Tribolium castaneum: one gene and its partners. The protein of the gene in region 1 purifies or fractionates together with the protein of each later gene. This does not show direct contact. Links are inferred from orthologs where the notes say so. Each region holds a gene or a part of one and is shown in the gene's direction. Other genes may lie near its edges. The genes, in order: eIF2Balpha, eIF2Bepsilon and eIF2Bgamma.

Region 1 (10,379 bases):
ACGGTTAAACTTAGGTAGAGGGAAAACTGACAAAAACGGCCTTGAAATAACTCAACTAATCAAAAAACGCAGTAAAAACGTAACTTTTTAAAATAAGAAAGTTTTTAGCGACTTCCGATATAACCGGAAGTGCCGTCATCTTGAAAATATTTTCACTGAGCAGAACTCAACGGATTTTAGCCAAGTACCAACTTTCAGATAAATAGTTCTTTATTAGAACTTGTAATAATATGAAATGTTTAAACAAAGGTTTAGCAAAAAAACAAGGATTGCTTAGTTTTTGACATGTCAAAAGTCAACGATTGCTTTGTTTCACATTAATTCAAACAACAAAAACAAATGTTTTTGACACAAAGACATCGAAATTAAAAATAATTGAAAAAAATGGCCACAACGTCGCCATTTTCCCCCCACGTGACCTGCAAAAATAGACAAATCACGTTTACTCACAAACGAGCCAAAAACCCCGAGACACATCTAATTACATATACAGTCTTGCCAACCTTCCGAACGGCAAGGTCACACATCAAAGGCCACAAACCCCAACGTCTTCCGGATATTTACCCGTAAAAAAAACGCACGTGTATGCGTTCTAATGTCACTAACCTTTCAAGGGCGGAATATTTTTTTTTTCATAATTATTATTACCGTTATTACTATTTTTGGCACATCGTAGAACAAGAAAGGACAAAAGTACAGCCAAGTGAACAATTATTTGACGTGACGTCACGACAACGCTACGTCATTCCAAAACAAAAACGAATCACAAGAAACGTGATTCATTTGTCATTCAATCGGGTTCAAATTCGAAAGATAACAGCTATCATTGATGACGTCACAACAAAGTTTTTCACCCCGATCTAGTTGGCATTTCCGTCGCCACCCTATTATTTTATTATTAATCCCACTCACCTGTCACGGCATTCGTTTTATTTATTTTTCTCCCAAACAACAAAACGAAAAAAATGCAACCCCTTAGCTGCAGCTATTCATTCACTTGTTATTATTTAGTCACCAATTTTATAAAAAAAATAATGGATAATAACACACACTAGATAACAATTGTGAAAGAACACTCCGCGTATTTTACCACACGCCAAGCCTACTCGATTTCTACACTTCCAACGCACGACTGACGTCGTTCACGTCCCTAGATCGCTAAAATCAAATCGTTTGCGCAACTCGTCCAACACGTGCCAACCTAACGACCAATAATGTGCAAGAGAAAGACAACAAATGAATGAGACACATATACAATATGGCCGACTAGGTTGGAAAGTTGCCGAGTCAAGTGTTGACTGTATTTAAAACGGTGCGCAAAAACACATTATTTTTATTTTTCCACGACTTGCTTAGACCAAAAATTCGCCCCCTGAAAACGAAACAAACGAACGTACAAGGTCAATGGACGCGGTCTACTAGATCAACAAACGCGGAGATTATTTTTAAAATGCCTATACTTCCGGGTTTTTTGTCATGACAGGTGTATATCTCGTTTTTTTTGGTCAAATTCATTGATTCTTTGTCTCGGAATTTAAGTAACGTGTCGAAAAATAACGATGACCTTCGGATGCACGACGACCTTCTCCACGTTGTTCGTTGTCTGTCAGCTGATGGGTGCGCAAAAATCGAGAAAATCGTTTTTTGCGTTCTCGACAACATCAAGACAACGATTTATTGTGAATATTTTCTACGTTTTTTTAAATTTGACAATATTTAAGCAGTTTATAATCAATTCCTTTGATATAAAATTTCTGGGTGGAGATTGTCATTTTTAAGGGTGTAGCCAATTTGAAAAACAACAAAAGGGGTGGAGCTACTTCGAAGCATAACAAAAATTTACTATCATTTGACAATCCTGAAAGTACAAAAATAACAGTGGATAATTTTTTTAATGCAAAATATTCAGGCTGATCCTTTTTTTGTGATTTTTTTCAAAAATTTAAGAGATGGTACCGGACGTGTTGATAACAGTCACCATTTTGATAAAATCATACTAGGTTTGAATATTGACAATTGACAATTTTGAAAATTCTAGTAAGCTTGAAATTTGTTGTTATTTAGATGTGGGCGGAGCTTCTATTTAAAGGTGGCGTTAAATGTAAACGACTAGTTCGTAGAAATAAAAAACACAAGTCATGGCCCATTTTTTATAAAAAGTACGAATTTAAATAAGCCCCACCCACTAGTTTAAATTCAATCAACACGTGACCAACCAAACTCCGCCTCCACATTTTGACAACCGTCCAATGCGAAAAACCAGCAAAAAAAACAAAAATATTTATTATTTACATTAACACGTGCATGCATTAAAACGCATTTTCGTTATTATTTTTTTGGTGGCGACGAACTTTGACTTTAACCTTCGACGACGCGTCCAAATTTACCCCCGCTCCCCTAGCACACGCGTTCATTGACCTCGAAAACCCCATCTTCCCCTATTTATAAAGGGGTGCATAATTCGACCTTGCGGCCCAATTATTCACAGGACCGGACCCAAATCGATAATACAGGACCGTATTTGAATCGATAACGGCGGCGGTGGAGGCGGTTTCACTCTCGCCGCCGCCACCGTTTTAAAGGGGATGAGACGCGACGCTTATCGATCGGGGGGCGGTCTTGCCGCCCCCCAAAAATATCATTCAAACACTCACCATACTAGATGATGCGAAGAAAGTTGGTGGTGTTCACACCTGAAAAAAAAAATTATTTTTTTTGAGTCATAGTAGGCTTGTATGCAAGTCACGTGATTTTGACATGTCGTTAATTAGCGAAAGCGCAGTTTTTGCCAAAATCTCAAGGTTTTTCGAAAGCGCGTCAAGGCTACCAACCGAAAAAAAAATCGATCAAATTCATTTGTTTACTCCGGAAATTGAGAACGTGCCAAAAATCCCCCAACAAAAATAAAAATATCCACGTCAATCATAATTAATCGCACGATACGGGCTTAAAAATGGGGGAAAACCGCCCCATACAGCCCCCTTTTAGCGGTGGTGCAGTCTCAAGGGGGCCCATCGCCTACTAACAATGAAGCAGAAAGTAACTGTACTAAGGAAAATGGCGACAGACAATTATCGAACTTGGCCCAACATATTGCGCAAATTTCGGCCAAAAGGGGGCTCCCAGGGCCCCAATTTCATAACAAGGGGGCACAAAGACATGCAAAGAGGGCTTTATACTCACATAAAGGTAATTTTAGGCCAAAATAATCCAAAAAAAACTGAACGATGACAGGGCAATCCACATCAACTACACAATTGATAAAGTTGGTCTGGTAATGACACGTGACCGGAATGAAGCCCGCGGATTGGTTGGCCGAAAAATGTTGCTAAAGCGACATCTACAAGCGAATTTAAAACGACCCCCATAATTTAATTCGGGCATGTTTTTTTAAACCAAACGTTATACTAAGTGTATAAACAAAGACCCAATAAATCAAACACACACATTGTTTTTATTTTGGTGGTGTAAGACACGGCGGGCGTGACTCTAACCACTGCCAAGACCACGTCGGTAAGGCAGTGACCAGTCAAGCGAAAAGGGAGGTTAAGTCAATTGTTTAATTTTGAAAATAAACACAATTGTGACAATAATTTGGCTTTAAGGCCACGTTATTTACATAATAATGGATAAGCAAGGTACGAATGTTACACTTTTGCAAAGTTTTGGGCGTTTTCAAGTCACATATGTGGCCCTTTTTTTAGAAGTTAAGGCCTTTTTCGACAAAACAATCGCCGAAAATGAGGACCTGTCGGTGGGGGTTGTTGCGATAATGACCCTCATGAAAATCATCGAAAAATATCAAGGTTAAAATAAATAAAACGCCACAAAAACCTAACCTCACTTTTCAGACAATACGGTTCAGGGCCTTGACGAGAACCTAAAACTGGGCATTTTGGCAATAAAAACGTCCGACTATCCCGTCACCGCGATAAATTCCGGTTGCGAACTTTTTATGCGCTTCATAACGTTGGCAAAACTTGACTACAATGTAATAGAAAAAAATTTAATTATCACCCAAGTAAATGAAATTTTAGAGTTTTGAGCAATGTCGTAACGTTATGCTCGAACGTGGCAACATTTTCCTAAACAGATTGAAACAATGCCGTGCCAAAATCGTGAAACTGGCCACAAAATTCATAGCTGACGGTTCTGTAAGTTTCAAGGTCGTGGGTGTGTAAACCCCCCATTTTTTTGTAGAAAGTCCTCACACATTCACGGTCACGTGTCGTGCTTCAAACTTTGATTGAGGCGTCACGTCAAGGCAAACAATTCGAGGTTTACGTCACGAAATCCGCGCCTGATAACAGCGGGTAAATCCCCGATTTTGTACGATTTGGCTTGACGTCACGTTGCAGGGACGTCATGTGCAAAAATCTGACTAGTGTGGGAATCCCCTGTACGTTGATTCTCGACTCTGCGATTGGTTATGTGATGGAACAGGTTGATTTTGTCATGGTGGGGGCCGAGGGGGTTGTGGAAAGTGGGGGGATTGTTAATAAAGTAAAAATAACACTATTGGTTTGATTTTGGTTAATTTCGTTTTGTAAGGTTGGTAGTTACACTATGGCCGTTTGTGCTAAAGAAATGAAAAAACCCTTCTATGTTCTGACGGAGAGTTTTAAATTTTCGCGCCTGTTTCCACTAAATCAGGGGGATTTACCGCCGGAGTATAAGGTAGGAAGGCGTAAAAATAATTAGGGTTAAGTGTTGGTATTACAGTACTCTGCAAGTGCGCGTCAACTTGATGAGAGGGATTTTAAGAAAATTCATCCCTTAGTGGATTACACGCCCCCGTTTTACATCACTCTATTGTTCACCGATTTGGGGATTTTGACTCCGAGCGCCGTCAGCGACGAATTAATCAAATTGTACTTGTAATAAATTTAATAAATTGACAGTTTGTGGCTAAGGTTACCCCACCAAATTTTTTAAAATTTATTGATTTTAAATTATTACCTGTAACAAAATCTAAAAGTTTTTTGGCACTAGAGTCACGCTAACTACAGGCACCTCATTCAATTATTTTCCAATTGAAAAAACCGGGTTTGTGGTTAAGGTTGGTCGCCCCTGGGCGCCTTTCCACGGTGATAAGATAGCGCGCCATTTAAATAAAACGTTTATTCAAAAGTCAGTCAAACTTTTTACAATAAAATACAAGTTATAAAATGTTTATCAACGTCACAATCACAGTAATTATAGCACACTTGATATTGGCAATCTCTGATCACAGGAATGACACTCTATAGGCGGCACATAGTGTTTCCACAACTGTATAAATTTGCTCAAAATTGGGCCTATTTTCCGGCTTATATTCCCAACATCTCAGCATTAAACGGTACATTTCGTCGGGTGTGTTATCAGGTGCCGGCATTCGATAACCGGCGTCGATTTTTTCCCGCGCTTTTGAGTTGCTCAAACCACTGTAGGGGGTTCCCCCACGTGAGAAAATCTCCCAACAGAGAATACCGTAACTCCAGACGTCGCAAAGCGACGTGTATTTGCCTAAAAGTGGAAATGTGACTGCGACTTTGTAAAATTGGGGGAATTACCGAAATTGAGTGCTTCAGGGGCCGTCCATTTGATGGGAATTTGCTTCATGCCGTCGGAAACGATATATTCCTCCTCCTCGCGTGACATTCCAAAGTCGGAGATTTTAACCACGTTGTTGTAACCTGAAAAATGGGTAAAACCCCGATTTTTTACACAGTGCCCTGACTTACCGACTAGGCAATTCCTCGCGGCTAAATCCCGATGAATGCAGTTTTTCGATTCGAGATAACGCATTCCAGCTGCCGCGTCCAAGCACATTTTCATCAATTGTGCGTCTGTGAGTGCGGTTTTTTTCCGGAGGAAAGTGAGCAGGGAACCCCCGGGGACCAGCTCCATGACGATCATGATTGGTTGTTTTTGTACGCAAATCCCAATCAGTTTAACGATGTTTGGATGGTCGTACTGCTTGAGAATTCGGCCCTCTTGAAGGAACTTTTTCTTGTGGTCTTCTGGAAGTGTCACTCTGCAGGTTTTGACAGCAACGACGTCGTTGCTGTTCTTAAGTTGCGCCCGATAGACGTCTCCGAAATTTCCGCGACCGATTTTGTCCAATAAGACGACATCATCATTGTTTAGTTCCCAGCGCTCGCGCGGGATTGGCTTATAGAGGAGCGCCCCCGAACGTCCCGTGACCGGCAAGCCGCTCGTGTATTGGTAGAGGATGAGGTCACGGATGCTGGGGAAGGCAGGGCCTTCGAAACGATAATGGCCCTGGAAAAAAGATTTTTTTTTTGGTGGTGTTGATTAATTTTGTTCGCCCAAAGTATGAGTTGGGGGAATTTGCTTTTTTGGCGGTTTGGAGGCTTTGGGATGGCCCACCTGTCGCGAAAAAATCGTTCAGATATTGTGACTAGAAGTGTGCCAAAAAAATTGTTTTTTGGAGGCGTTCACTTGTACACAAATGACCGAATTAAAAAATTCATAATTCTGAAATGCGAGGCTCTAAATGTTTGCTTTTTTAGCTCTTTGTAGGTACGGGTCTTGTCTACAATTCGTACAAGTTTTGTCGAAAAATCTCAATTAGGAAATTTTTAAAAAATTTGTAAAGTCGTAACTGCAGGATTGAAAGAAATCGAGTTTGTGGAATATTGTATTTTGATAATTTAAACTCGGATTTTAACGCCCCTTTGGAATTTTATAGTTTGTGTCATTATCTACCAACACCTGTAATTACATTTAAATAGAATATAAAAAAATATCAGAAAGAATATCAAAAAAAAATTGAAAAACCAAAAAAAAATAAATAATCAAAAAAATTATAAATCAAAAAAAAATAAAACAAATTTAAAAAAATTAAAAAATCCCTAACAAATCCCAAAAATCCCCCAAAAATACAAAAAAATCTCTAAAACTCCCCAAAAATTCCGTTGTTTTTTTTATGAATTTTTGGAAACGGATAGGGCCCCAAGTGGACGATCTTTGGTAAAAATTTCCTTGGGCAAAAAAAATATTTTGGAAATTATGCACAAGTATAGACAATGTAACTTCCTTCGCTTTCAAGGTCAAATCACACTTGAGAAAATCAAAAAATAGCAAAAAAAAATAGCAAAAAAATAGCAAAAAAAATAGCAAAAAAATAGCAAAAAAAATAGCAAAAAAAATAGCAAAAAAAATATCAAAAAAAAAAATATCAAAAAAAAAAATATCAAAAAAAAGTATCAAAAAAAATATCAAAAAAATAAAAAAAATATCAAAAAAAATAAAAAAAACAAAAAAAATATTTAAAAAACATCAAAAAAATATGAAAAAAAATATATCAAAAAAATTACGCACAAGTATAGATAATGTAACTTTCTTCGCTTTTAAGGCCAAATCACACTTGAAAAAATCAAAAAAATATCAAAAAAAAATAAAAAATTCCCAAAAAAATTTCAAATCCCCAAAAATTCCTAAAAAAAACCCGAAAAACTCAGTGGTGGATAATGAACCGTTAATTGTAAATCTGCGATAATTACAACCCAACTTGAATTGTGTCAAAGTTAAATTTTTTTGTATCAACAAAGTTAAAAAATTCATAACTCCAAAACTACGAAAGGTACAGACTTGTAATTTTGGCAGTTAAGACAGCTGACTTAATTCAACGATTGGTGCAAATCCGTCAATCACACAACCCATACTTTGGTGCCAAATTCAAAAACTCTCAAAATCCACTCACCTCAGCTGTAGTTTGCACAATAAAGTGCTTATGTCCTCCCCAGCAAACCGACAGCACCGTTTGACATTCATCATTTCGGGTAGTTTCCCTAACAAGAAAATCGCCATCTTGTGTCAACAACCGCACAACTTCCTCCCGCGGAAGCACGCCATGAAACCACTCCTCATCCACCAATGACTTATTCGTCGTCATGGAAACCTAAATATTACGATTAAAAAGACACGCCCCTTTTCGCCAGTCAATCAGCCAATCAGTGTTAGTAGAAAGGAAAATGTTAGTCAAGCCACCACCTACAGGATCGCCCCCTTCACTCCTGGGGGCGGAGTCCCTCCTCCCCTTGGTACGTGGGGGCGCCACCGGCGACGCGGGCGCCGATTTTCGCCGAAACGGCTTACGAAAAATACCGACAAATTGCGTGAATGACCGTTTCGTGTCAATTGTGCCAACCTACAACCGCTAAATGTTCCCAACACCAGAAAAATTACTAAAATCACCACCTACTTGTTCGGCGGAATTTGTTATAAAAGTCGTCTGATTGTCAATTGATAAATCACAACCAGACGGTACTTCTTCACACCCTAACTCGTTCAAGGCACTCTTGATCAGTTCGGTTTGTTTCAACATTTTCCTCTCCTGACATTTGAGTTCGTTTAATTCTTTTTTGGAGGTTTCGGCCACGCTTGCCAACCTACAAAATGCATTTAGTGATTGTTGGGGGATTTGGGTGAAGGCACACCTGCCGGTATTTTCAGGGGGTTTCCCGTTTTCGGTCAAGTTGTTGCGTTTCTCCTGGTTTTCCTTAATACTGGCTTCTAGTTCGGTTAGTTTGTTACGCAGCCATTCCACGGTTAAATTATCGACGGTTAGTTGGTTTGGGAGCAATTTTCCGGCGCTGTCTTCGACCAGACTCTCGTCAAATGTGAATTTGACCGGTTCAGTGGGTGTGGTTCTAAAAAATCGGGGCAAAAATTCAAATTTTTTGGCGCGAAATTGAAATTTTCAAATCAATTACTTGTGTTTTTCGGTGAAGTCTTTGTATTCCTCGCTTGGTTTGATGGTTTCAAGGCTGGTCTCGATTTTTTTTTGTATTTCCCGGAACTTTTCGGAGGTACAGTCGGACGCCGTTACAATGTCTTGTAAAATTTGCTTCCTGGGGTGGTAAAAAATTTTGTTTTTTTTTTTTTTGGTGGGAGATTCACTCACCAAGCTGTGATGAAAGCCTCCTGGAGGGACTGTTGGTGTTCCAAAAGTCCGGGCAGTAAAACCGTCCGGAAATCTTTCTCAAATTCCACGGCTTCACACAAAAGTAGGACGTATTCGTTGTGTGTCAGATGTAGTTTTCGGCAAGCTTTCTGGTATTTATCTCTAACGTCGTCTAATTTTCGGCCGCCTCGTCCGGCTGTAAAGTTAAATTTGTTTTTTCGGGTTTTTTCTATTTTTAGAGCTTGGCGCTCATTTCAAGGTTCTTTCACTTTGGACTACTTACATTTGACGTAGTGTTCCTCGAATCGCGAGCGCATCAATTTGTACAGTTCGAGGTACTTCTGGTATTCGGATTTTTTACGGTTCACTTCGTCCGATAACTGGAAATTAGAAGAAAAAAAATTGCAATCTGATACTTTACGAATTTTTTTCTCCGAAAGTTAGAGGTTGCGGGTTTTGCCCTTTTGCCACCTTGGTGGCCTTGTTGTGGTCCACTTGACGTAAAAAAATTATTCAAATATCTAGACGAGAAATGTACGGAAAAAAATTTTTTTTTGGATTTGCAATTTTCAAAAATTCAAGTACTACAAAAATTCGTATTTTCGGAACGGACAAATTGCAACGTTTGCCCTTTTGGCATTTTATTTACTCTGGTTATGACTACAACTCCTGCAAGTTTCGTGAAAAAATCTCGATTAGGAAATATTTAAAAAAAAATTGTAACGTCGCTGATAATTTGAAAAAGACGAAAATTATCGGATGACATTTTACGATTTTTTTGTTCCGAAAGTGAGAGGTTGCGGGTTTTGTCCTTTTGGCACCTTGGTGTCCTTGTTGTGGCCCACGTGACGTAAAAAAATTATTTAAATATCTCGACGAGAAATGTACGAAAAAAATTTTTTTTTGAATTTGCAATTTTCAAAAATTCAAGTACTACAAAAATTCGTATTTTCGGAACGGGTCAGTTGCAACGTTTGCCCTTCTGGCATTTTATTGACTCGGGTTATGACTACAACTCGTGCAAGTTTCGTCAAAAAATCTCGATTACAACAATTAAAAAAATCAAATTCAACAAAATTTTGCCAAAAAATAACCAAATTAAATTAAAATTGAAGGTTTTTTTCAGTCAGTTAGGATTGATTCAGATGATTTTGAGCGGAACTGTATTAAAAATAATCTAAATATGTCAAAAATTTTGTGGTTTTGACATTATATGAAATTTCTGTTTTTAACCGAAAAACTTATTTATGTTCTAAATGTAGTCAAAAAATGACCAAAAATAAAAAACCCAATATCTCAAAAACAATCACGTGATATTGACAGTTTCTTTTTAATTCGGCGCCAAATTCAAAAAGTGCCAAAATCCATACTCGAAAAAAGAGTCTCTCCTTTTCTCGCCTCATAGGTACAGTTATAGGATAATACAGCCAGGTATGTGGAGACAAGAACATGTGGTTCAAAGTACAGC
Region 2 (11,264 bases), on another chromosome or scaffold:
TATACCATTTTCTAATAAATCAGGCGTATAGTTTGCGTTTAAATAAAAAAGACCGATTATTTAACCAACCAAGTAAAAATTTGTAATTGTGATACCAGGGTTTGATCTGCTGGCAGGATTCACTTAGTGTAATAATTTTATAGTTAAATTAAGAACTTTATTTATTTAAAAAATTACAATAATAATATAAATTCTAGGAAATAGAAAAAGACTAATGTTTACATGGGTTGTCTCAAAAAATTTATTTTAGTTTTATTATTACTACTAAAATCATTTTGCTTTTTCTACTGGGTTTCAAAGTGATATCTCGTGATATCTCAAAAAAAAAATTGCAATTTTCAAACGACGATTATGACGAAAATAGACTAGGAGAAATAATACTCTTATTCCATCGTAAAAAGCGCCATCAAAATCTATAAAAATAGATGTTTTATTTTCAATCGATTGTAGGCCAATTTCAAAATCGGTCATTTCAGTGTTTAAAAATTTTTCCTTTTTTTTAAATTTTTTTATTTACATCAAAACTTTTTAAAAAAATGGAACTATTTTGATATAAACCATGTAGAATAAATAAAATGCACCGAGAATCGATTAGCGTCAAGCAAATTGCACAATTCATAATAGTCTTTAAGTTATCAACGCATAAATATAATCTATTTATGCATTTGTTAGCACTTTCTTCGAAAACTACTATTAGCCAGAAAATAATGATCTTTTAAAAAAAAGATAATTAAATCATTTAAGAACCAAAGATAATAAGTTTAATGGGGTTACTTCTAATAGTTCCGGAGTTATCACCAGATAAATGCTCCGGAAAGGTATATGAGAAACTATAAATCAACCAAAATCTCGACAAAAATTAGAAAAGTCATCAAAACTTGTCAAATGTATTCTATTAATGTTTTCTTGCACTTTTAAGACCTCTAGAACTTTGGACCAGCGAGTAAAAAGTTTCAAAAATTCAAGTGTTTGAAAAAACAATAGGATGGTTTAAAAACTATGTGAATGCCATAAACGGCATAAATATGCACCACAAAAAATTATAGGTAATGTAATTTATACAATGTATTTTTAAATGATTCTCATCTAGTCGTCTGTAAATTTCTCATGTAAAATCAGAAAATTCCGCTTCATAGAACTAATGATAGGGATTTAGACATCGAATATTACCGTTCTCCATTTATTAAGTTTTAAATTCAGAAATAAGATTCTATAATGAAAGTGTTTTCTTGTACAGTGTAACAATTTAATTGCATTTTACCAATTTTTTTTCATAACTGACAGATTTGACATTTATTGACAGAGGATTCAATTTTTTTAAATGTTAACCAATTTCAAAGTTGAATCATTGAAACACACATTGTAGTTTCAATGAGAGATCTAATCATTAATAACTACAATTCGGTTCACTTTCATAAAAACCATTGTGGTGGAAATTAGGTACTCTTGGCATTAACTTTTATATGAGTTGTTATAGTAACAAGTTAGTCAGTTCCACCAAAAATAGTTTTTATCAAAGTGAACCCAAAGTAATTTACATTTTTATCAACCTCATTAAAAAAATTATTTGGTAAAATGCGACATTGGCATTTACATAGTTCTGAAACAGATAATAAGTAAAATAAACCGTAAAATTCTCTGGAAGAAGCTAAATATTAACAAAAAATTGTTTACTCTTAGGTAAACCATAAAGGCTTAAGGCGTTTTGTTATTCTTCTCTGAACGGTTGGAAGAAAAATAATAAAATCTTCTCGGTTAAAATTTTGTGAACTACTGGTTTAAGGGGTTTGCTTACCTGCATACTGACATACGCTGGCTGCATAACGACAGCCCTCTCGAACCTCGAACTTTATAAGCTTGTGTTTAAACTCTTATATAACTCGTACCTATTATTAATAACTATTTCACCACTTTCTTTGAGTTTTTCACAATTTTTTAACACAAACGGACGGAAAATAAAAAACCTGACGCGACCCGAGCAAAATTACACTACTACCAACCCTTAAAACCAAAAGCTTTTTTGTTATTTACTTTCTCGAAGAGCCTTTGTTTTAAAATATAAATAACTTGTTTGGGTATTTCTGCAAAAGAAGCACTAAACGTAAACTTTAATTACTCTCATGATTATAAAACTGTGGAAATAGCTGAAAGCACAGTTGAAATGAAACTGAACAACCCCGACAACAGCACCACCAACCCTTTAGACTAAAAAATTATTATAAGTATTTATTTATATTATTAGGCAAAAATATTTTGTCTGGATATCAATGCATGATTTTTTGAAGATAAGATATTATTTTTATAATTGTCTAAATTTTATTTTAGGTTTATTATATGCAACCAATAATACATCCATGTGACCAACAGTTTTGTGACAGCTGTGACCCACCTTTGTTTATGTGTCTTAAATGGGGGCTTATTCAGCTTAAAATAGCGAAAGTTGGGTTTCATTTGAAGTAAGATCATGTCAGACCCAGATTCTGTGAAATTTGTAACAGATTTCAATAAAATTTGCCGGACATGTCTTTCAGAAAAAAATAAGGAAGATTTGTGTTCTCTATTTGATAATTCTCTTGATGTGATTCTTACAAATTTAGCTGAAATAAATGTAAACAACCATTTAGAAATAAACAGGCAATGAAATAATCAATTTTAGGTTAGAAGGGACGACGGTTTGCCCGGTTTTATATGTAACGACTGCATTTTCACTTTAAATTTATTTATAAGTTTTAAAGAGCAATGCCAGAAGGCAGAGTCCCAACTGAGGAAAGCTCTGTACACTACGCCGGAGATTTACGGCGAGTACAAAACTGTAACAGTATTAGGTGACAACATTTCCACTATTATTGAATTCAAGAATGACTCTGTGTTAGACAATCGCGACAAAATCATAACAGTGAGCATAAATGAGCCCCAAATTGTAAATAGCGACTTGCAAATCGATAATCCAGTTACAACGGACCCCCTGAAATGCCCCAAATGCGAGCGTTCTTTCAAACTTGAATCCACTCTAAAAACCCATTTACTAAAACACGAAAAAAACCAAAAACTGAAGTGTGAAATTTGTAATAAAGAGTTTAATCGTGAGTGAATGTATCACGTTTGATACAAAAAACCCAATTAATTTTTTCTAGTGGTTACACAATTCAAACATCACGTGCGCACCCACACCAATTACAAACCCTTTTCTTGCTCAAAATGCGACAAATCATTCGCATTATCGTCAAGCTTGACTAAACACATGCGAACACATGGCGGCGAACGCAAACACTTGTGTATCACCTGCGGGAAGCGGTTTTTCGAACCGGGCCACCTTAACGTAAGTAGCACCTTCGGTACTTCCCCCATAACGCGCCCATTCAAGATTCACATGCGGACACACACCGGGGAAAAACCGGTTATTTGTAACAAGTGTGGTAAGAGATTTACAGACCCACACGGGCTCATAGCCCACAACAAAATCCACACCGGCGAACGCAAATACGAATGCAACACTTGTGGGAAAAAATTCGCACATTCTTTCGTGCTTAAGGCGCATAAAAGGGTCCACACCGGGGAAAAACCGTACGCTTGCACTATGTGCAAGGCCGCCTTTGCGACGTCCTCGTACTTAACGATTCACAAAAGGACGCACACGCAAGAACGGCCCTACAAGTGCGAATGTTGCAGTAAGGCTTTTATCAGTCGGTGTGCTTTAGTAGCACACATGAGGACACACACAGGGGAGAAGAAATTCCAGTGTTCGGTTTGTGGTAAACGCACAGGGCGGGCCGCTGATTTACAGATACATATGAGGTCACACACTGGTAAATCCCCAACTGTGGTTTGACTAATAACAATTCGGGTTTTTTTAGGGGAAAAACCCTACAGTTGTGACTTGTGCCCGAAAAAATACCACACTTCGAGTAACTTAGCGGCGCATAAAAGGACACATCTGGGGGTCAAAAACCACTTTTGCGCCGTTTGTAGCAAGGCTTTTGGCGACTTGAGGACCCTTAAGTGTCACATGAGGATACACACGGGGGAAAGACCGTACATTTGCGGGGTGTGCGGCAATAGGTACACCCAGTCGGGACAATTGGCCGCACATAGACGCACGCATGATGTTTACATTGATGTAAATACTGTTACGTAAATAAATCACTGAAAACGACTGGAATATTTATTTAGGGAAGCCCCCCGATCACGCGCCCCCTGGTGGCGGCGTCGGTAATTAACAAATCGCCAAAATTTTGAATTTTGATCAATGTAATGTGAAAAAGCCGCAGAAAAATATTTTGGTAACACCAGGCGATAGGGTTTCGAGCTCTGCTCCGAAAATGCAAACAAATCGCTAAAAAAAGTGCGCCCTCTTGCGTCACTTGTTGTCAGTCGAGTTTGTGACTGGTGCTAACCTAAAAAATCAAAATTTTTAATTAAAAATGTCGATTAAGAGCAAAGACGATATTATTCAAGCCGTGGTTGTTGCTGATACTTTTGGAGATGAGTTTTTGCCACTTTCGTCCGACATCCCTCTGGTACGCTAAAAGAAAGATGATGCAATCGTTGATTTTTTTCTTTAGGCACTTTTCCCTCTAATTAACAGACCTTTGATTGATTATACTTTGGAGTTTCTGTCTCTGGGAGGCATAGAAGAGACCTTTTTGTTCTGTTGTTCACACACAGACGCTATAAAAGCCCACATAAAGTAGGGATACGCCCCAGTCTGTGCTCTCTTAATTCTTGTGTTTTCAGTCAGAGTGTTAAAGACAAGGCAGGATGGAGTCTCACGATGAAAGTCAATGTTATCGTATCGGAAAGTTGCCACTCGTTTGGCGATTGTTTGAGGGATTTGGACAGGAAGGGGATTTTGAGAGGGAATTTTGTTTTGTTGGAACCCGGGACTTTATCCAATATTAAATTGTTGCCAATTGTTAAGAAACATAAGTAAAGGTGTTAGACTTGTGTTAGGTACTTTTCCCTATAATTTGTGCTTGCAGTGAGGTTGCTAATAAGGACAAGGGGGCTGCTATGACTGTAATTTACCAGGAGGCGGGGATTGGGCAAATGGGGCGCGACTTGAACGAAGAAGTCGTCGTTGCTGTCAATAATAACAATCGGGTTTTATTTCATAGAAAATTGGGGCAAAGCAGAGACAGAAAAATTGAATTTCCTTTAGTACGTCCTAACTTGTCCAAATTTTTTTTTTTTTTCTAAAAATTATAATTACAGGAAATTTTTCTGGAAAATTCAAACGTGTCGCTACATCACAACCTCAAAGACACACATATTGCAATTTGTTCTCCGTCAGTTTTGCCTCTCTTTTCCGACAATTTTGACTTTCAGTCTAAAGACGATTTTGTCAAGGGTTTACTAATGAATGAGGAAATCCTCGGGAGTACGGTGTATTGTCACGTGACGAAAGGCAGTCACTTTGGAGGGGCTATTACCAACTGGCGGATGTATCAAGCAATAAGGTATTTTTTCAATACAGAGGATTAAAATATGAGGTGATAGGTGCAGTATGAAAGTATTAAAAAAGTAATTAATTCACCACATCCGAGCTGATTTAGATTATTCGAATAAAAAATAGGAAAACGTTTGGAAAAGTTATTAATGCCCAAAATTCACACATTTTTGCGTTAAGTTTAAATTAACGAAAAACAAGTTAGCTCGTTCTAACTCGTTTCACCTCATACTTTTAGTTTTCCGTATTTAAAATAGAGCGAATTTGCTAAAAGTATTTTTTACTACTAGCTGTTTTAAAACTATAAAAACGCCAACGTCGCATTTTTTCTTAAAATTAGCTGTTATAATATAAATTATTTCTGTACTTATAAAGAATAATAGCTAATGTAGTCTATACTTTCAATGAGAGATCTAATCATTAATAACTATTTTACAATTTTATCAATCTTCTTAAAAAAATAATTCGGTCAAAGTTGGCGTTTTTATAGTTCTGAAACAGCTATTATATTTCAAAAATTAATAGACGCACAGTATTCAGAATTTGGTATTAACTGTGGTTTTAAATTATATTGTTCAATATGCAGTGTTTTTTTGAGAATTTTTCTTGTGATTAATATTAATTAGTAATTAAAAATATTAATTAATTGAAATTGATTTGTAATGTTATTCGCTCTCACCTAAATACGTTTATTATGGGATCAGTAGTATTTTTTTACCAGTTTTTTGCCCAAAATAACATTTAAGCATTGCTTGCTTTAAAATAACAAGAAATAATATTTTTGTGCGACTTAATTCATTAATTAATTTTAATTATAAGGAACTGTAGAAAATTCTGAAAAAAAAACAGATGCAAAGAGAAACATACAGAGTGAGTTTACGGTGAAGCATAAAATTTCACACCTTGCTACGGCTTATTCAAAAAAAATTAAATAAAATCGTCAAACAGGTTTTTTTATAAATACTACACTTTCATTTTACCTCGTAATTTATGACGTCACTATTCTTTGAGAAGTTACGTTTTTTTTAATAAGAACTGACATTTTTATGTTGAGTTTTTTATAGTATGCTCCTTTATTTTTCTGGTAGGTACAAAAAAATCAAAAAAAAAGAAAATAATAAATAAAGAAAAAAGAAGTTAAAAAGGGTTAATTATAAATAATAATAAAAGCGGTCGCCTCTTACAAAATAAGGTAATAGCAAAAATATTAGACCTTTTGCGTGAGATTATAAAAAATAGATTTAATTTTTTTTATTAAGCCATTCCATATTAATGTACGGAACACTACAGAAATTTTTTGATTTTATTTTTAGTTTTTATGAACATTATCAGCAGAAGTAAATTTTTCTTTACAGGAGCTTAGTACCAGTCCAACTGTTTGTGACTTTCATACGTTTGTGAAATTTGAAATACAAGGTAACGACTTCTGATTAATTTACTTTCTGTTTACACATGACGGACGCAACAAAAGAATCATGTGTGTAAAAATAGCTCTAAAAAAATTATTCAGGCAGGTTTTAATTATTAAAAACTTCAACAATATCAAAGTTACACAGTGGAAATTAAAAATTATTGGTTTTGTTTAACGACGTAAGAAATAAGAACATTTATATGCTTCTAATAATGAACGAGACATCAAAATATACGAAGATATAAAAGTAATATTACTATTCAATTTACTTACCGATTTTCATTTTCTAAACTTCCAGAAACTAGAAAAACACTCAAAAATTATTCACAACTGTTGTTGTACTTCAGCTGTCAACAGTATTTTATGTTATCGCCTACAAGGTATGTAAATTTTAGAACCCACTGAATTACTTCAATTTATATTATTATCCTCTCCCATTTTAAATCCATAACAAAAAAACTCTCGTCGCAAAATACATAAATATAAATCGAATCGTGTATTTTGAAAGAAGCTTTAAATACTAAAATTATTTTGGAAATTTCGGTGTCAGTTTGTATTTTTTCTGGAATGGCTGTATTATTTCTTACTATTAAAAATAAATAAAATTGACGTCATTACTCAAAAACCAATGACATCATAAATGTTGCTATGGTGTCAAAATTGATTTTTTTTTTTGAAACTGACCCATAACAGAGATGTAAATTTTATGCGTTATTTTCAACTCACTTTGTCCTATAATCCTATAAAGTGTTTAATAATACCAAAAGCTGATTTCTGTGTAATTCGTAATTGTTGACGTACAGCAATAAATTTTTAGCCACGAACTACAAAACAAATGGATTTACCCGTTACAACCTCCGGCTTTGAAAGCCCACAACTTGAAAAACGGTGTCGTAACAGGCGACAAAGTCGTACTAAATGACAACAAAAAAATTGCAAATAGTATTATAGGCGATAACGTAACAATAGGCAAAAATGTACAAATTGAGCACAGTTTTATTCTCTCTAATACGAAAATTGCGGACAATGTTATAATCACTCATAGCGTAATAGGACCAAACTGCCACATTAAAGCAAATAGTCGGATCACTGCTTCAAGTATTATCGGAAAAGACGTGGTAATCGAAAACGAACAATTTATTGAAAATAGTCTCGTCCAATCAACTCAACCAGAAAATTGTACGTTTTTTCCTGTGGCTTTCCCCGACTGAATTATTTATTTTAAGGCGAGGAGAAAGACAAATTAGGCAAAAAAGCATTTAGGCTGAAACTTGAGACCGACGATGACGATTTGGGTGCGTTATCTCGGAAATTATCGCAGCTACATATCGGGGATTCCCCTGTTGAAGAATCAGAAGATGAAGCTTTCACAGACAGTGAAGATGAAGAATTGAGTTATACTCAATCCCCAGTCCCCGACGATACAAAATGTAAGCCTCAAAACCCCCTGTCTTAGTCTCACTCACCTTCTTCTAGTGTTCTTCACTGAAGTGATAGACAGCTTAACACGAGGTTTTGAAGATGAATTACGTTGCGAGAATTTAATTCTCGAAATAAATTCCTCACGTTATGCTTATAACGTCACAGTTAAGGAGGTAATTGATTTTCAAAAGCTCAATTCTAAATTTTTTTTGATGGTCCAATTTTTAGGTAAATTTCAACGTCATCAAAGCTATTTTAATTATGTCGTTGAGATTTCCTATTGGAGCTCAGTATTTCTCTCAGTTTGTGCGTTTATTGTCATTCTTTGCTCCGATCCTGAAGAATTACATACGCAATGAGGGGGCCATGCTGGACTGTTTGCAAGCAATTGAAGTAACTATTTCCAAGTCGTTGAGCTTGGTTTAATCACGACTTTCAGGATGTCGCAATTTCGAACGAAAATGTTAACGAAAAATGGGTCATGTTCACCATGAAATGGTTCTATGATAAGGATTTTGTCACCGAGGATGTGATAATGGAGTGGTCCAAAAGTTTAGATACGAAAAGTCGGTTTTATGGGCAAGTCAAGCCGTTCATTGAGTGGCTGGAGGAGGCAGAAGAGGCTTCCTCATCCGAAGATGATTAAAAAAAAATAAAAAAGTGTATTTTTAGGCATGACCCCAGGTATTTATTAAAATCGTTAAAAAAATATTTTAAATTAAATTTCTAACCACAGTGACCTGTGAATTTGACAGTTGCCAACTTAATTTCAAAATCATAGGCCACTGTGATTAGTTATTTATTTTATTTAATCATCACAAAATTGGCTAAAATCGAGCTCAATCCTTTTCTTTTTTGTGTTAAATTGCCTGAAAATCCCAAATATGCGTAACAAATGCGATTTTAGTTTAATAATTACTTACCTATAAGTAATTCCATATTTATCGCATAGTTCTTTGGCTATATTATCGTCAGTATTGTTTTGATAAAAAACAATTTCTTTAATTCCAGCTTGTGCAATAGCTTCGGCACATTTGTCACACGGAAACGAAGTTGTGTACATAACATTTCCCTCTTGAATTTTTTGTAAGGCTTTATATTCAGCGTGACTAGCTAAAATTTATTGAAATAATTTTTTTATTGATTTTTGGCTAAAAACCATACTATGCAACTCGTGTTTATTTGTGTCAAGACAACTGTTGGCCATGCTTATTATTATTTTACGCTGATTTAGAATAATTGCAGCATTGTTGTTATGACCTGGAGCTCCTCGTCTCAGTTCCAAAAACGTCATGGCCATAAAATACTCATCCCATTCGAGATAATCACTGCGTTTCTCATTTTTAACACTAAAAAATCTACTTTTTTTACCGTATTTTATAAATATTGCTTACCTCAGGCACAGTCCGTTCGTTTTTGCGAGTTTGTTGTCACTAGAATTCATTTTAAAACACAACTAATTAAAGACAAAATTACAAACATCATAAATATACAAAAAGAAATATTTTGGAACACATTTTTGGGAATAAATAGTTGCATAACCTCAAAGTGACAAAAAGTCAAAACCCAGGGTTTTTTGCTCGTTATGTTGGCGCGGTGTTTGATTTAAACTCGAAACGTCAAATTCGAATAACGGTCACGTTTGAGCAGGTTTTAAAATACGGTTATTTCTATAAAATTAATTAAAAATGCCGCCAAGTGAGTTATTAAAATCTGCCCGCGGTGATCGCCCAACTGGTTACACTTGTCGGCGCCGATTACAAAGTAATTTTGAGGATTGTGACAAAAATGAAACCAAACCGGTAGACAGAAGTGTTTTATCGGTGTTATCTTTTAACGAAAATACGCGAAAAATTTTGCGAAACAGTGCGGAAAGGTTCAGTAAAACTTTGAACACAGTTCGGACCACGTTTGGTTCTATTACACAGGTAAATACAAGTTTGTTTTTTTTTTAATTTTTTGGTAATTTTATTGGTCTCAGAAATTTAAAGTTTCGACCAGAAGACGTCAGATTTTGGAAGAGGGGCCCATGACCCCGAATTGTGACACCCCGTACACGTTTTCCAAGCAGGTGTTGGGGCGAACTCCAACTAAGTTGTACAGCCCCTTTGGGATTGAGACACCCGGTGCTGGGACTCACGATAAAGAAAATAGGGGGGCGTAAATAATTTTTTAAACTCATTTACATCATTGACTGAAGTATTAATTACTTATTTATTTGTATTTAGGCTAAATGTTTTTTTAATAAATTTTTACTGCCACTTTTTGTTCTATTATTCGTGCGAAATGAGAATTTATTTATACACGCACGGATATCACAGATAATATGCACTTTATTTTTTATTTATTTTTTATTTTTAAATTACCATAAAAGATGAGGGAATGGACTGTTGAAACTGTTGCCATTTTTTAGGCAAAAAATGTTACTATTCAAATTTAGGTATACTATTTAAATAAAACACTATTATTTGTGCATTATTCATAATGTTTTTACAAGTAGATTTCGCTATGTTTGTGAAATAATTGGACCTCATTGACAAAAACACTCTTTAAAAACAAAAAAAAACTACAACAGGGAATGTTTAAGTATTAAAAAATTTCTGAACCTAAAAAGAACTTCAGAATATAAAATACAATGTATCGAGAATCTTCCTATAACATTTAATAAAAAGTGCCCTAAAAAAATCTAATCTTAGTATGTTAAAAACATTCGGTCATTAGGCTTTTATATTATTTATTGAAAAATTAAAGGGGTGATGATTTTTTGTTTATTTTTCTGTGTTTATTAGCAATTTCAAATCTATAAAAACGCCAACGTCGCATTTTACCGAATTATTTTTTAAATAAGATTGATAAAACTGTAAAATGGTTATTAATAAATAATTGAATCTCCCATTGAAAATATAAATTACATTATTTATAAATTTTTTGAAGTCCGTAATGATCACATTTACATATGTTTTTCCAGCATTTGAATTTTTGAAA
Region 3 (11,264 bases), on another chromosome or scaffold:
CTCACACGCTCTTCCATTTTCATTGTGTCATTTTTTGTGTATTTTCACTTTCCCTCTGCGCAGTTGTGAGCGCTCTGCGACATGTTCCTAAGCCGGGTTATGGTTTGGCGCCTCGATCTCATACATTCAGTTCATCGGCGGGTAGTTATCCGCAGATTCCTGTAAGTGCGACCCTAGGCATGCTTTCGTGATTGGTCGTTGTGCACGTCTGAAACTGTATCGGGTGCACGAAAAATCGGTTCAAACTTTATATCGCAGAAAAACGCGGTCAAAATTCACCACCTGTCTTAATTTTAATCGCGAATAGATTTTTTTTTAGCCTTCATTTTTCATTATTTGCTTATAAAATAACCGTTAACTACAATTAGATTATTTGAAAACTAAGTTCATGTAAAAAAATTTTAGAGAATATTATTCCTCATAAAATAATTTGTTAATAGTTATAAGGATAGTTGTTAGAATTAGTCAACTGTATTTTCAGAATGTTAAGTTTTCTACAGAAATAATGCTAAAGAATAATAAGAAAAATTGTGGATGTGTTTATAAAATAGTTTTGCAGAATAAAAATAATTTTACAGGAGAAAACTTTATAAAAAATTTGGAGACGGATTTAAAATAATCTAAAGAAAAGTCCTGATTTCAAATTTTCAAATTAAAGAAGAATTAAAGAAGAATCTTAAGAAAAACGTAGAGAAAGTGTAGAAAAAATTCTAAAGAATATAATCTTGAAAAAAACAAAAACAAACAAAGAATCGAAGAGAAATTTTTAAAAAATCTAGTACGGAGTACAGAAACGATGTGAAAAATAATCTAAAAATGATATCAAAAACCAAAAAAGAATTTTGAACAGATGCAAAGTCTAAAGTCTAAAAGACAATTTGAAGAATGTAGAAAATTGTAGAAGCATTTATTAAATAATTTTGCTTTTTTGATTAAAAAGTAATTTTAAAGAAGAAAACTTTATAAAAAATCTGTAGACGAATTTAAAATAATCTAAACAAAAATCCAGATCTCAAACTCAAAAAAAATTTGAGAATAATTTTAAGAAAAATCTAGGGAAGAGTAGGTAGAGAAACAATGTTAAATAGTAATTTAGGAAAATTCTAAATGAAAATATAAAAGAATTTCGAGAAGACGCAGACTAATATCTAAAAGGGAAATTGTAGAGTGTAGAAGAAAGAAGTGGTTATAAAGGAATTTTGAATACCGCCTGCAGTATACTATTTGACGTGGTTTACACATGTTGCTATGTCGTAACCAAATATATATTATTATTACAAAATAATTCAAAAAATTTAAACACACCTAAAAAATTCAGAGAATAATCTTAAGAAAAATATAGAGAAAGTACAGAAATAATACTAAAGAATAATTAAAAAATTCTAAACGAAACGGATTTTGAAAAGGCTCAGTCTAAAAGAGACTTAGGAGAGTGGAAAGAAATGTTTATAAAATAATTTTGAGTAGAGTTCAGAAAATCATAGTAAAGCGGCATCTCAAGAATTTATAAGAAAATCTGGAGATGGATGTATAAAAAAACAGGAACAATTTAAAGAAAAGTTCAGATTTCCGATCTTTAAAAAAAATCAAAGAAGATTAAAAAAAATCTTAGAAACAATACTTAAGAATAATTAGAAAGACTTTTACAAAAACGGGGACAAGAGTCTTATTAGCTTACTGTTACAACATTGCAAAATTGTCAGATATTCAAAAATATTAATTTTGCACTACATGCTCTAAACCTATAAGTAATTGAAAAAGAACTTCTCCTTTATTTTGATAATGAAATTTTGAAGTGATTTAAATTGTTTTTGGTTATTGTATCATAAATCAACTGATAAATTCTACTAAAAAAAGAAGAAATATTCGTATACTAATGAAACTAGCTGTTGTATTTTCGGAATTTTTTTCTGTCACTCGTAAGACTTTCACGTTGGTTCCTTCCTTAAGGTTTAGAAAATTGGTATTTTTTCGAACACCCGATATTTGTGAATTCGTCATGTCACTTGATTTGTCTAAAGCTTCACCCTTCATATGAAGGTTTTTCATGTTTTTCCCTCAACTGGTTAAATTTTCGTGTCTCGTTCTCTAGCTTAGTCATGTCGTCCTGTCATCCTGTATTTATTCATCGCATGTTTTGTGTGTTTCTAATCCCTCGAAAATCGGGAAATTCGGATGTTTAATTACGTTCCTCCTTCACAGGGCGATTATTCGTTTAGCGGAATGGGTGCAAAAACCCATAGCACTGACTTCAGTTGTGGAAAATCCGACAGTAAGTATTTCATCGTTTATCAGTAGAAACTGGCTTTTAAGCGGCTTTTTGACACATTTTCTGAAATTTTTACGCACCGAAAACTCGGGTGACTTTGGTGGGATCGAGAGAAAAGTTTTAACAATTTTTTTTGAGTAATACGCTGCTTACTTCTCTTTGGTTGTTTTTCAAAACCGTATTGCTTATTATGCATGATTTGCGTCCGAAATCGATCGAAACGATTGTACCGAACGAAATTCTAGGCTAGTTTTTCCAATACATATTTTATAAGCTAGAATGTTAAGTTAATGCTTTTTCTTCAGTTTCCACTGGATCCATCACGGATGTTGAAAGACGTGCTCTGGTATGTAAATAATGCTTTATCTAACTTTTCTGTGTAACGCTCCAAATAACGGCTTCTTAATTTTCAAGCGTTTTGTTCTGTGATAATACACTTTTTCTCGTTTTTTATTATTTGCCTTTAGTTAGTTTGGGGTCAAGGTAAAATAATCTTTGGTTGAGGTTACATCCAGCAACAAAACAGTTTTATAGCCACATTTTCACCAAACTTTTCACCACGAAATTGTTTAAATACAGTTTCTTACAACCAACTAAAAAAATTTAAAAGTAATTATTTTTGAGTGACTGTGGTAGCCTGTGGTTTAAGTTTTTGTGTTTTCTGTCTCTATTTTATTTAGTCTTGTCATCTTATATTCAGGCACGATATGCAAAAAAAAGTAAATTAACTGTTACAATTTTTTGTTCATATTTCCGGTGAAATTTTGGGGGTGAGTCAAGGAAGCGTTCTGCTTGTCTTGGGGCTCCCCCTGTGCATAATTTGTTGCTTTTCCGGTTAGTTGTATTGGTGGTGGCGCAGTTTTCGGTTTTTGTTCGTAACTGTGTTGTGTGCTAGAATTCCGAAATGCCCGTGTCGGCGACTTACATGGGGGCCCTGGGGCGCTACCCGGGCGGGTACTCATCACAAGTGCGACGGTCCCTTCCAAACATGGCCCACACGATGCTGATAAACGAACCGGCCAAAATCTACCCTTACCACTTGCTTGTGATCACTAATTACAGACTGCCTTCTGATGTCGACAGATGCAATCTTGAGGTAAAATACTTTTTCCGATTTTGTGACCAGATGATTGGAATTTTTTGTAGCGACATCTGTCGGACGCCGAGTTCGAGGCGATTTTCCAAGTCTCGCGGACCGACTTCTACCGACTACCCCAATGGCGCAGGAACGAACTAAAACGTAGAGCTCGCTTGTTTTAAACTCTTCATGTGCTACTAGATGCTGCTTGAGTGCTAAACCACCACGCTAAGGCTGCTATACACTGCGATGTGTAACTGGTTTTCTTTGAGTGTTCCTTGATTCATTTACCGACTGGATCATTCTTCGCCATAGTTTAAGTTGACAAGGTTTCTGCGAAATGTGCTAGAGTAGCTCTTGGTTTCCTTACGGATTATTCCAACTAGATAAAAAACAATATTTTTCTACTGATTTGAACTATTATAATCTGTATTGTATTGGTGAAAAAGAGTATCTTGGAAGATTCAACAATTTTTTAATCATAGGACAAATTGGCTATATTCAGAGATTGATATTTTTTCTATAGGATAAGTGTATAACTAGGTAGTGCTAAGATAGTTGAAAGTTATTTATAAAAACGGCATTTAGATTGCTTTAATTATTGCTTTGGGCTAGTCGTATATTCTTTTGTACATTTGTTAGTGCTGTCAAGGACTTTGTGGTACCTTTTATTTCTGGTATATTGTTTTAAACCCAAATTCATTTTCATGAGTGTTTCTATTGTTACAAATTATTTATTTATTCTCATAAAATAACGATTTTAAAGCTTTAGGTATCTAAGATTTGTTAATAATTGCTCTGATAAATAAAAAACTTTTAAATACGACTTGTTTACTTTTTATAGCCACTCGTTTAAGACATTTTTTACCACCACCCATAATATTAAATGGGCAAACGCCTGAAATTTTGACACATCGACTTGAATTATTTTTTCACTCCAAAACCGAGACCGATACAAAATTTTTATGTTACAAATTGTTCAAAAGAACTGGGTCTTTCAAATAAAAAAAATTAGACCACTCGATTAACGTGTAACAAAAATATTCATTTTCATAGTTGTTTCAATTGTTACAAATTATATTTATTCTCATAAAATAACGATAACGCTTTAGGTGTCTAAGATTTCTTGTTAATTGATCTGATGAATAAAAAACTTTTAAATATGACTTATTTACTTTTAAAACCACTCGTTCAATACATTTTTTCCTAGACTGATATAATAAAAAAGTGTTATTTGTACCTAATAAAACATTTACATAAAAACCTCAGTTAGCAGATTCACATGCATCTATCCAATCGTTGTACACATCCACAGGCTCTGATAAAAAATTGATAGTAGTTTGGAAGTCTTCAAGACACACTCGGCACGTTATCCTGGCCGTATTTCGACCCTTATCCCTACAAACACACACATTACCCCATAAAACCCAACGGTTTATAAAAACAATCACATTTTAACATCGCACGATTTTTCGTGGTTGCAAAAAGGGCAGTTGAACTGCTGGTCCAGGGGCTCCACAGCTTTGCGTTTCGGCGCCGGTTTTCGCTTCGACTTGCGGCGCCCCATCACAAGACACTAAATTACACACAAAAAAAGTTTTCAACACAAGTTGGCCCCAAAATTTACAAAAAAACCGACCCGACCAAAATAAACAGTTTTTGCGCAAAGTTGACGTGTGACAGTAACACCAACGTGGTGGCAAAAACTGAGACAATTTGAGCGTAATTGCGAGCTTAATTAATATCACCGGGTATTAAGTTCCGACCGTGTTCACGATTCAGTCTTGAGGAATGCGCTAAAGTTTTATAAGGGGCTCAAATGAATTATTTTTATTTAGCGTAACAATTTGTTATGTTGGTGCCTCTGTCATTGGTGTGATATAACCACACATTTGTTGCAAAGTTTTGTGACATATTTTTGTGTGTTTTTGCAAGAATGTTTCAGCCCGAGTTCCAGGCCGTGGTCCTGGCGGCCGGCCGGGGCTCCCGCATGCCCGAGATCACCTCCGGCAAGCCCAAGTGTCTGCTGCCCGTGGGGACGAAGCCCCTCGTTTGGTACCCCTTGTACAAGCTGCAGCAGTCCGGTTTCACAGGTACGTGCGCTGGCCGTTCGAAATCTCATAATTACCAGACTTTTAGACGTAATTCTTGTCGTGTTAGAGAATCACAAAAGCGAGATTCAGGCCACGCTTGACAAAAGCGAGCTTGAGATCAAAATCGACTACTTCCCCGTTAGCGGGAAGGAGGACTTAGGCACCGCCGACTCCCTCAGACTCCTCCATGACCGGCTAAAGTCCGACGTTCTTGTAATTTCGTGCGACTTTATCACTGATTTTAGCCTAAAAGGCGTTTTGGACGTGTTCCGAATGCACGATGCCTCGGTCGCGTCTTTGTTCTTCCACCCTCACGGGGGCGAATTAACAATCCCGGGCCCCAAGTCCAAACACAAGCCGGAGCGCGATTTGGTCGGGATTGACGCGCAAACAAACCGTTTGGTGTTTTTAGCGTCCGCGAGCGATTTCGAGAGCGAATTATCGCTACCGCGCTCTTTGCTCAAGAAACACACTCATGTTAAAATGTACAGCAATTTGGTCGACTCGCACGTGTACGTTTTGAAAAACTGGGTGGTCAAATATTTGAACAGCCAGCCGAACTTTACAACAATCAAGGGCGAGCTCTTGCCCCACATTGTCAAAAAACAGCTCTCCAAGCCCCCGAAAGGGGCCGAGGGCAAGTCAATAGTCAGTAAATGCGACAGCGAGGACATTTTTAATTACGCGAAAGAGGACCCTTTCAGTATTATTATAAGGGAGTCCTCGTCCTACAACGACCATATCGGTGACTCCAAACCCACGTATCACGGTGATAGCATCCGGTGCTACGCCTTGATAGCCCCCCGAGACTCGTTCGGGGTGCGAGTCAACACTTTAGCGACGTACTGGGCCGTTAATAGCAAAGTACGTGGTAGTTCGCCCGTTGTGAGCCCCCTTGAGAGTGTGCGTTGCAGGTCAGCGAAAGGTGGGACAAAATCACAAATGGGCTAAGCCTCGTCCTCAGACACCCCAAAAGTGAGATTAAATCGAGCCAAGTGGACGATAAGTGTGTTGTTTGGGAGGGAGCCAAACTGCACGAGAAAACCTCGTTTAAGAACTCGGTTATTGGGGCTAACAGTGAAGTTTGCAGTTTTTCGAGGGTTTTTAATTGCATTGTTATGAATAATGTGACGATTAAGGAGAAGTGAGTGGGTTTCCATTGTGTGGCCTGTGTGGCAATTGTGTTTCAGGGTGGCGTTGGAGAATTGTATAGTTTCGGATGGAGTGACGATCGAGAAGGGGTGTCAGATTAAGGGCTGCTTGATCGGCAGTCACCACTTAGTGCCCGAAAATTCGGAACATAGTCAAGAGGTGCTCACGGATTCGGACCGCTTGATGGAATTCTAATTTTTATTTTTGTACATAATTTACGAATAAAATACAAATGTGAACTACTTGGTTTTTTTCGGTTTCGTAAGCAAAAAATCGTCTATTTGCTAATTGATTCTGTGGTTAAAATTTGGCAAATAGCAGGCGAAAAGTGCTAAAATATTCGGCAAGTTTTTACGATGTCTATTTAGCGAAATTCTCGAAATCCATTCGGGTAAAGTTAATTTTGGGTTTTACGTATGTTGATGGTCGGCAAAGTTCATAAATGCGTCATCGAATTCTGGAAATATCTGCATTTGCTTTCGATCGATATTAAAGGAGCTAATATTCGAGATTTTGTGTTCGGTGAAATGGAATCCTTTACGTATTCACTTTTTTGCACAAAAAATAAGACGATAAGAGTTTGCAAATTTTCCTCAATCTTAGTACAAAAAATGAAGAACACGCTTAATTAACGACCTGAGTTGCGAATAGAAACGGTGACGGTGCAGTAGTTGCCAAAAATAAGTACTTTTTCACATTTTCAAAATATTTATAAAGGTCCGTTTTGGAGAAATTATTGGAAGAAAATATAATTTAATTAAAAAAAAGTGTAAGTCAGAAAATAGTAAAATAAATACGAGTGCATAGTACTAAGAATATTAATTTATTATGCTAATAACTCGAATACTAATACTAATAGAAAAAAAAATAAAAATAATATATGTTTGAAAGAGGTTCAAACTATAATTTTTTGTTCATGGATGTAGACAATTAATTTACTCGCATGGATTATTACAAATCCTTGTTTCTCACTAGCAAGTTGATAAAAACAAATCAAGAATTATTTCTAAAATACTTGCAGAACTTAAATTATACTTCTGAAAATTAAAGCTTTTACGAAAATTTAAAATTATTACTTATTACTTATTACTTATGGTACAATGTGAATAACGACGAATTTATGCACTTAAAAAAAGTTTAGTTTTTGAGTGGATAAAATTTTTGTATTTACATAAATTATACGTACAACATTTTTTACAATTCCTATTAATAAAAATGACACCCGCCTGGATTAAAGTTTAATTCTGTTTCTGTAAATAGATCATGAACATTATTAAAACAATAGTTTTGGCAAAAGTTAGAGAAAAATGAAACAAAACAATGAATACAATGTTAATTTTTTTATTTTGTGCGTGCTGTAAATAACAGTGTGAATAAAAGTTTTGCTGTAAACATTCAATTCATTCTTTCGATTCATTTTATTTGTCCTTTTGATTAAATTATTGTATTGATAATAAGATTTAATATGTAAAATGAGCATTTTATTAATAGAAGCTGGAAAAAACTTATTATTTTCATATTTTTTTAAATTTAAATACGTTGTTTATATTTTTATGTGCTCACTGTGTTCGCTCGTGTTCTAAACAATTCTCGTGTTGTGTTTAGCGATTTTTTTTGGATTGGGGAAAGGAGAGGGAGAGAAACTCCGTTTGCAAAACGCAGGTTTCCACTTTATTTCTCAAGATTCATAAGTATATACAAAAATACTATACAACTTTAAATCTAAAGAAACGCGTAGTATGTATTATATACAATGATAATAAAACGACATTAATTACAGTGATACAGCTTCCATTACACTTACTTATCTGAAAAGACGTAGAGAGCCGCCGAATTTACGCAGCAGAGTGCAACTCCCTGAATAAAAAACATCCGATAAATTATACGAAAACGTAATAAAACATTCTTAAGTACGAACAACCGGCAACGATTCAAAGTGCAAAACTTTAACAATAAGCTAAAGCTAAGAAACGTGGTAAAAATTCAGGCACTAATGGCTGATGAAATGAAAAAATCAAGCGACTTGACGCAATGAAAATGGTCCCTGCAGCCGTAAAAACTTATATAATACATCAAGTAAAAAGAAACCAATTATTTCGCCCTGAGATACGAAATTTTGACAACAAATCGTACACTATCTAATAAATAAGTCTACAATTAAACAAAAGTCGAGTCCTTTTGTACCCACTGAAATTAAAACCTAGTTGATCTTCTTCGAGTTGCGCTCTATTACGGTTTGGCTCACAAAGCCGTTTGTGCTGCCGTTCGAGTAGCAAGCTTTGTACGAATCGGAATACTCGCTTTTGATGTAAGTGTTGTTAAGAGTGCCGTTACTGTCGGACTTCGTAACCGTTCCGTTTTGCTGCTTCTCATCCTCGAGGACCGGCTGCAACAACTTATCACTCACAAAGAACCGAATGCCATCAATTAACTCACCATGCAAGCGCCGCTATTGCTCTTCACAGCCTTGTTGTTGGTGTACCTAACTTTGTAAAAATCGGAGAACAGGAATAAGAACATGACACCGTGCAAAGCGATCCAAATCATGAAGCTCTTCGGGTAATTGCACTCGGTGAAGAGCAGCTGGAACTGGTGGGTGAAAATCGCCACAAACTGCACCATCTGGAACGTGGTCAGGTATTTCTTCCACCAGATGTATTTCTGGTACTGGGGCCCCATGGCCGCCACCATGTAGTAGAAATACATGATGATGTGCACGAATGTGTTGAGCAAGGCGAAGAACGTGCTGTGGCCACCTAAACGTTTCAGTCAAATTTGGAACAGCAGGAAAAATTAAGTATTCACCTGGCGCGAATTTCATCCCCATCCAGACCGAAAACGGCATGCAGCCGTGGTGGATGACATGGAGAGTAGACACGTGGCTATTTTTCTTCCGCAAAATGAAAAATAGAGTGTCGAAAAATTCGGTGAACTTCGAAAAGTAGTACCACCAGCAGGTCCGCGCCATCTGCGGGAAAAATCGCCAACGTTAGCGTGATTTCGACGAAAAACATGACTCACTCGACGTCTTCCGATTTATTATCGATTTTATCATCAATATTTCTAATCTGTTATATCGAGTTTTATATTTTGTATATATTTTTTTGTTAATATGTGAAATAAACCAACAAAATACGAGATAATTCCAGTCAAAAAAACTACTTTTCTTTCCTAATTTTACATATTTTGGATGAAATACTTAAGTGAAGTCATTAAAATTCGGTTTAAGGCCGGTTTGCAAAAAATTGCAATTAAATTTTCATTCGTCATTCAGATTCAATTTAATTCTGAATTAAATTACATTGAAATAAATAAAATACACAGTCAAAGGCCTTTTTGGCAGCGACCAACAGAATGACATTTGAAAAAAAAGTTTATGTGAAATTATTTTGGGAAACTGAAAAAATTCATTAAGGCCCTAACAAGTGATTGTCGGTTCACTATTTTTTTGCAATCGAAGGTCCTTGAGAAAAGCTTTGTTTTCGGCAAAAATGAGGAAAATCACGACACGCGATGGCACTTGAAAAAAAAGTTTGTACTGTGAAGACATTTTAAATAATAAAAAATAAAATCTGTTTTATCGTTTTTTATATTTTGTATATTTTTTTTTGTTAATATGTGAAATAAATCAACAAAAAACGAAATAATTCCAGTCAAAATACCTACTTTTCTTTCCTAATTTAATTCTGGATTAAATTAAATTGAAATAAATAAAATACACAGTCAAAGGCCTTTTTGGCAGCGACCAACAGAATGACATTTGAAAAAAAAGTTAATGTGAAATTATTTTGAGAAACTGAAAAAATTCATTAAGGCCCTAACAAGTGATTGTCGGTTCACTATTTTTTTGCAATCGAAGGTCCTTGAGAAAAGCTTTGTTTTCGGCAAAAATGAGGGAAATCACGACACGCGATGGCACTTGAAAAAAAAAGTTTATACTGTGAAGACATTTTAAATAATAAAAAATAAAATCTGTTTTATCGTTATTTATATTTTGTATATTTTTTTGTTAATATGTGAAATAAATCAACAAAATACGAAATAAATCCAGTCAAAATACCTACTTTTCTTTCCTAATTTTACATATTTCGGTTAAAATACTTAGTTGGAGTCACTAAATTCGGTTTAAGGCCGGTTTGCAAAAAAGTGCAATTAAATTTTAATTCGTCATTCAGATTTAATGTAATTCTGGATTAAATTAAATTCAAATAAATAAAATACACAGTCAAAGGCCTTTTTGGCAGCGACCAACAGAATGACATTTGAAAAAAAAGTTAATGTGAAATTATTTTGAGAAACTGAAAAAATTGATTAAGACCCTAACAAGTGATTGTCGGTTCACTATTTTTTTGCAATCGAAGGTCCTTGAGAAAAGCTTTGTTTTCGGCAAAAATGAGGAAAATCACGACACGCGATGGCACTTGAAAAAAAAGTTTGTACTGTGAAGACATTTTAAATAATAAAAAATAAAATCTGTTTTATCGTTTTTTATATTTTGTATATTTTTTTGTTAATATGTGAAATAAATCAACAAAATACGAAATAAATCCAGTTAAAATACTTAATTGGAGTCACTAAATTCGGTTTAAGGCCGGTTTGCAAAAAATTGCAATTAAATTTTAATTCGTCATTCAGATTTAATGTAATTCTGGATTAAATTAAATTCAAATAA

Evidence for each region.
Region 2: the proteins of eIF2Balpha (region 1) and eIF2Bepsilon purify together in Homo sapiens (affinity purification with mass spectrometry; 7 studies listed by BioGRID and IntAct, counting the BioPlex papers as one, with this or other methods). This does not show direct contact. The link is inferred for Tribolium castaneum from reciprocal best matches to the Homo sapiens genes EIF2B1 and EIF2B5.
Region 3: the proteins of eIF2Balpha (region 1) and eIF2Bgamma purify together in Homo sapiens (affinity purification with mass spectrometry; 7 studies listed by BioGRID and IntAct, counting the BioPlex papers as one, with this or other methods). This does not show direct contact. The link is inferred for Tribolium castaneum from reciprocal best matches to the Homo sapiens genes EIF2B1 and EIF2B3.

The regions. Positions count from the first base shown.
Region 1 is NC_087400.1:171,864-182,242, reverse strand, and holds eIF2Balpha (translation initiation factor eIF2B subunit alpha), read left to right. Parts: upstream 1-3,473; 5' UTR 3,474-3,625; coding exon 3,626-3,638; intron 3,639-3,704; coding exon 3,705-3,806; intron 3,807-3,851; coding exon 3,852-3,991; intron 3,992-4,037; coding exon 4,038-4,154; intron 4,155-4,200; coding exon 4,201-4,313; intron 4,314-4,358; coding exon 4,359-4,503; intron 4,504-4,551; coding exon 4,552-4,677; intron 4,678-4,722; coding exon 4,723-4,881; 3' UTR 4,882-4,941; downstream 4,942-10,379. Other genes in the region: tyrosine-protein kinase Fer, read right to left, coding at 5,228-5,505, 5,553-5,675, 5,724-6,264, 7,709-7,906, 8,003-8,155, 8,210-8,396, 8,445-8,657, 8,721-8,858 and 2 more.
Region 2 is NC_087402.1:10,480,188-10,491,451, forward strand, and holds eIF2Bepsilon (translation initiation factor eIF2B subunit epsilon), read left to right. Parts: upstream 1-4,341; 5' UTR 4,342-4,421; coding exon 4,422-4,517; intron 4,518-4,562; coding exon 4,563-4,687; intron 4,688-4,734; coding exon 4,735-4,926; intron 4,927-4,979; coding exon 4,980-5,157; intron 5,158-5,211; coding exon 5,212-5,456; intron 5,457-7,674; coding exon 7,675-8,036; intron 8,037-8,083; coding exon 8,084-8,287; intron 8,288-8,333; coding exon 8,334-8,452; intron 8,453-8,507; coding exon 8,508-8,672; intron 8,673-8,718; coding exon 8,719-8,925; 3' UTR 8,926-8,990; downstream 8,991-11,264. Other genes in the region: zinc finger protein OZF, read left to right, coding at 2,465-2,608, 2,657-3,083, 3,135-3,806, 3,855-4,135. UniProt on the Homo sapiens protein: Acts as a component of the translation initiation factor 2B (eIF2B) complex, which catalyzes the exchange of GDP for GTP on eukaryotic initiation factor 2 (eIF2) gamma subunit.
Region 3 is NC_087395.1:21,887,259-21,898,522, forward strand, and holds eIF2Bgamma (translation initiation factor eIF2B subunit gamma), read left to right. Parts: upstream 1-5,144; 5' UTR 5,145-5,283; coding exon 5,284-5,440; intron 5,441-5,486; coding exon 5,487-6,304; intron 6,305-6,354; coding exon 6,355-6,584; intron 6,585-6,630; coding exon 6,631-6,787; 3' UTR 6,788-6,831; downstream 6,832-11,264. Other genes in the region: Unc-115a (actin-binding LIM protein 3), read left to right, coding at 64-161, 2,203-2,272, 2,575-2,615, 3,165-3,365, 3,416-3,529; transcription elongation factor 1 homolog, read right to left, coding at 4,613-4,745, 4,799-4,914; very long chain fatty acid elongase AAEL008004, read right to left, coding at 8,793-8,978, 9,029-9,348, 9,398-9,560. UniProt on the Homo sapiens protein: Acts as a component of the translation initiation factor 2B (eIF2B) complex, which catalyzes the exchange of GDP for GTP on the eukaryotic initiation factor 2 (eIF2) complex gamma subunit.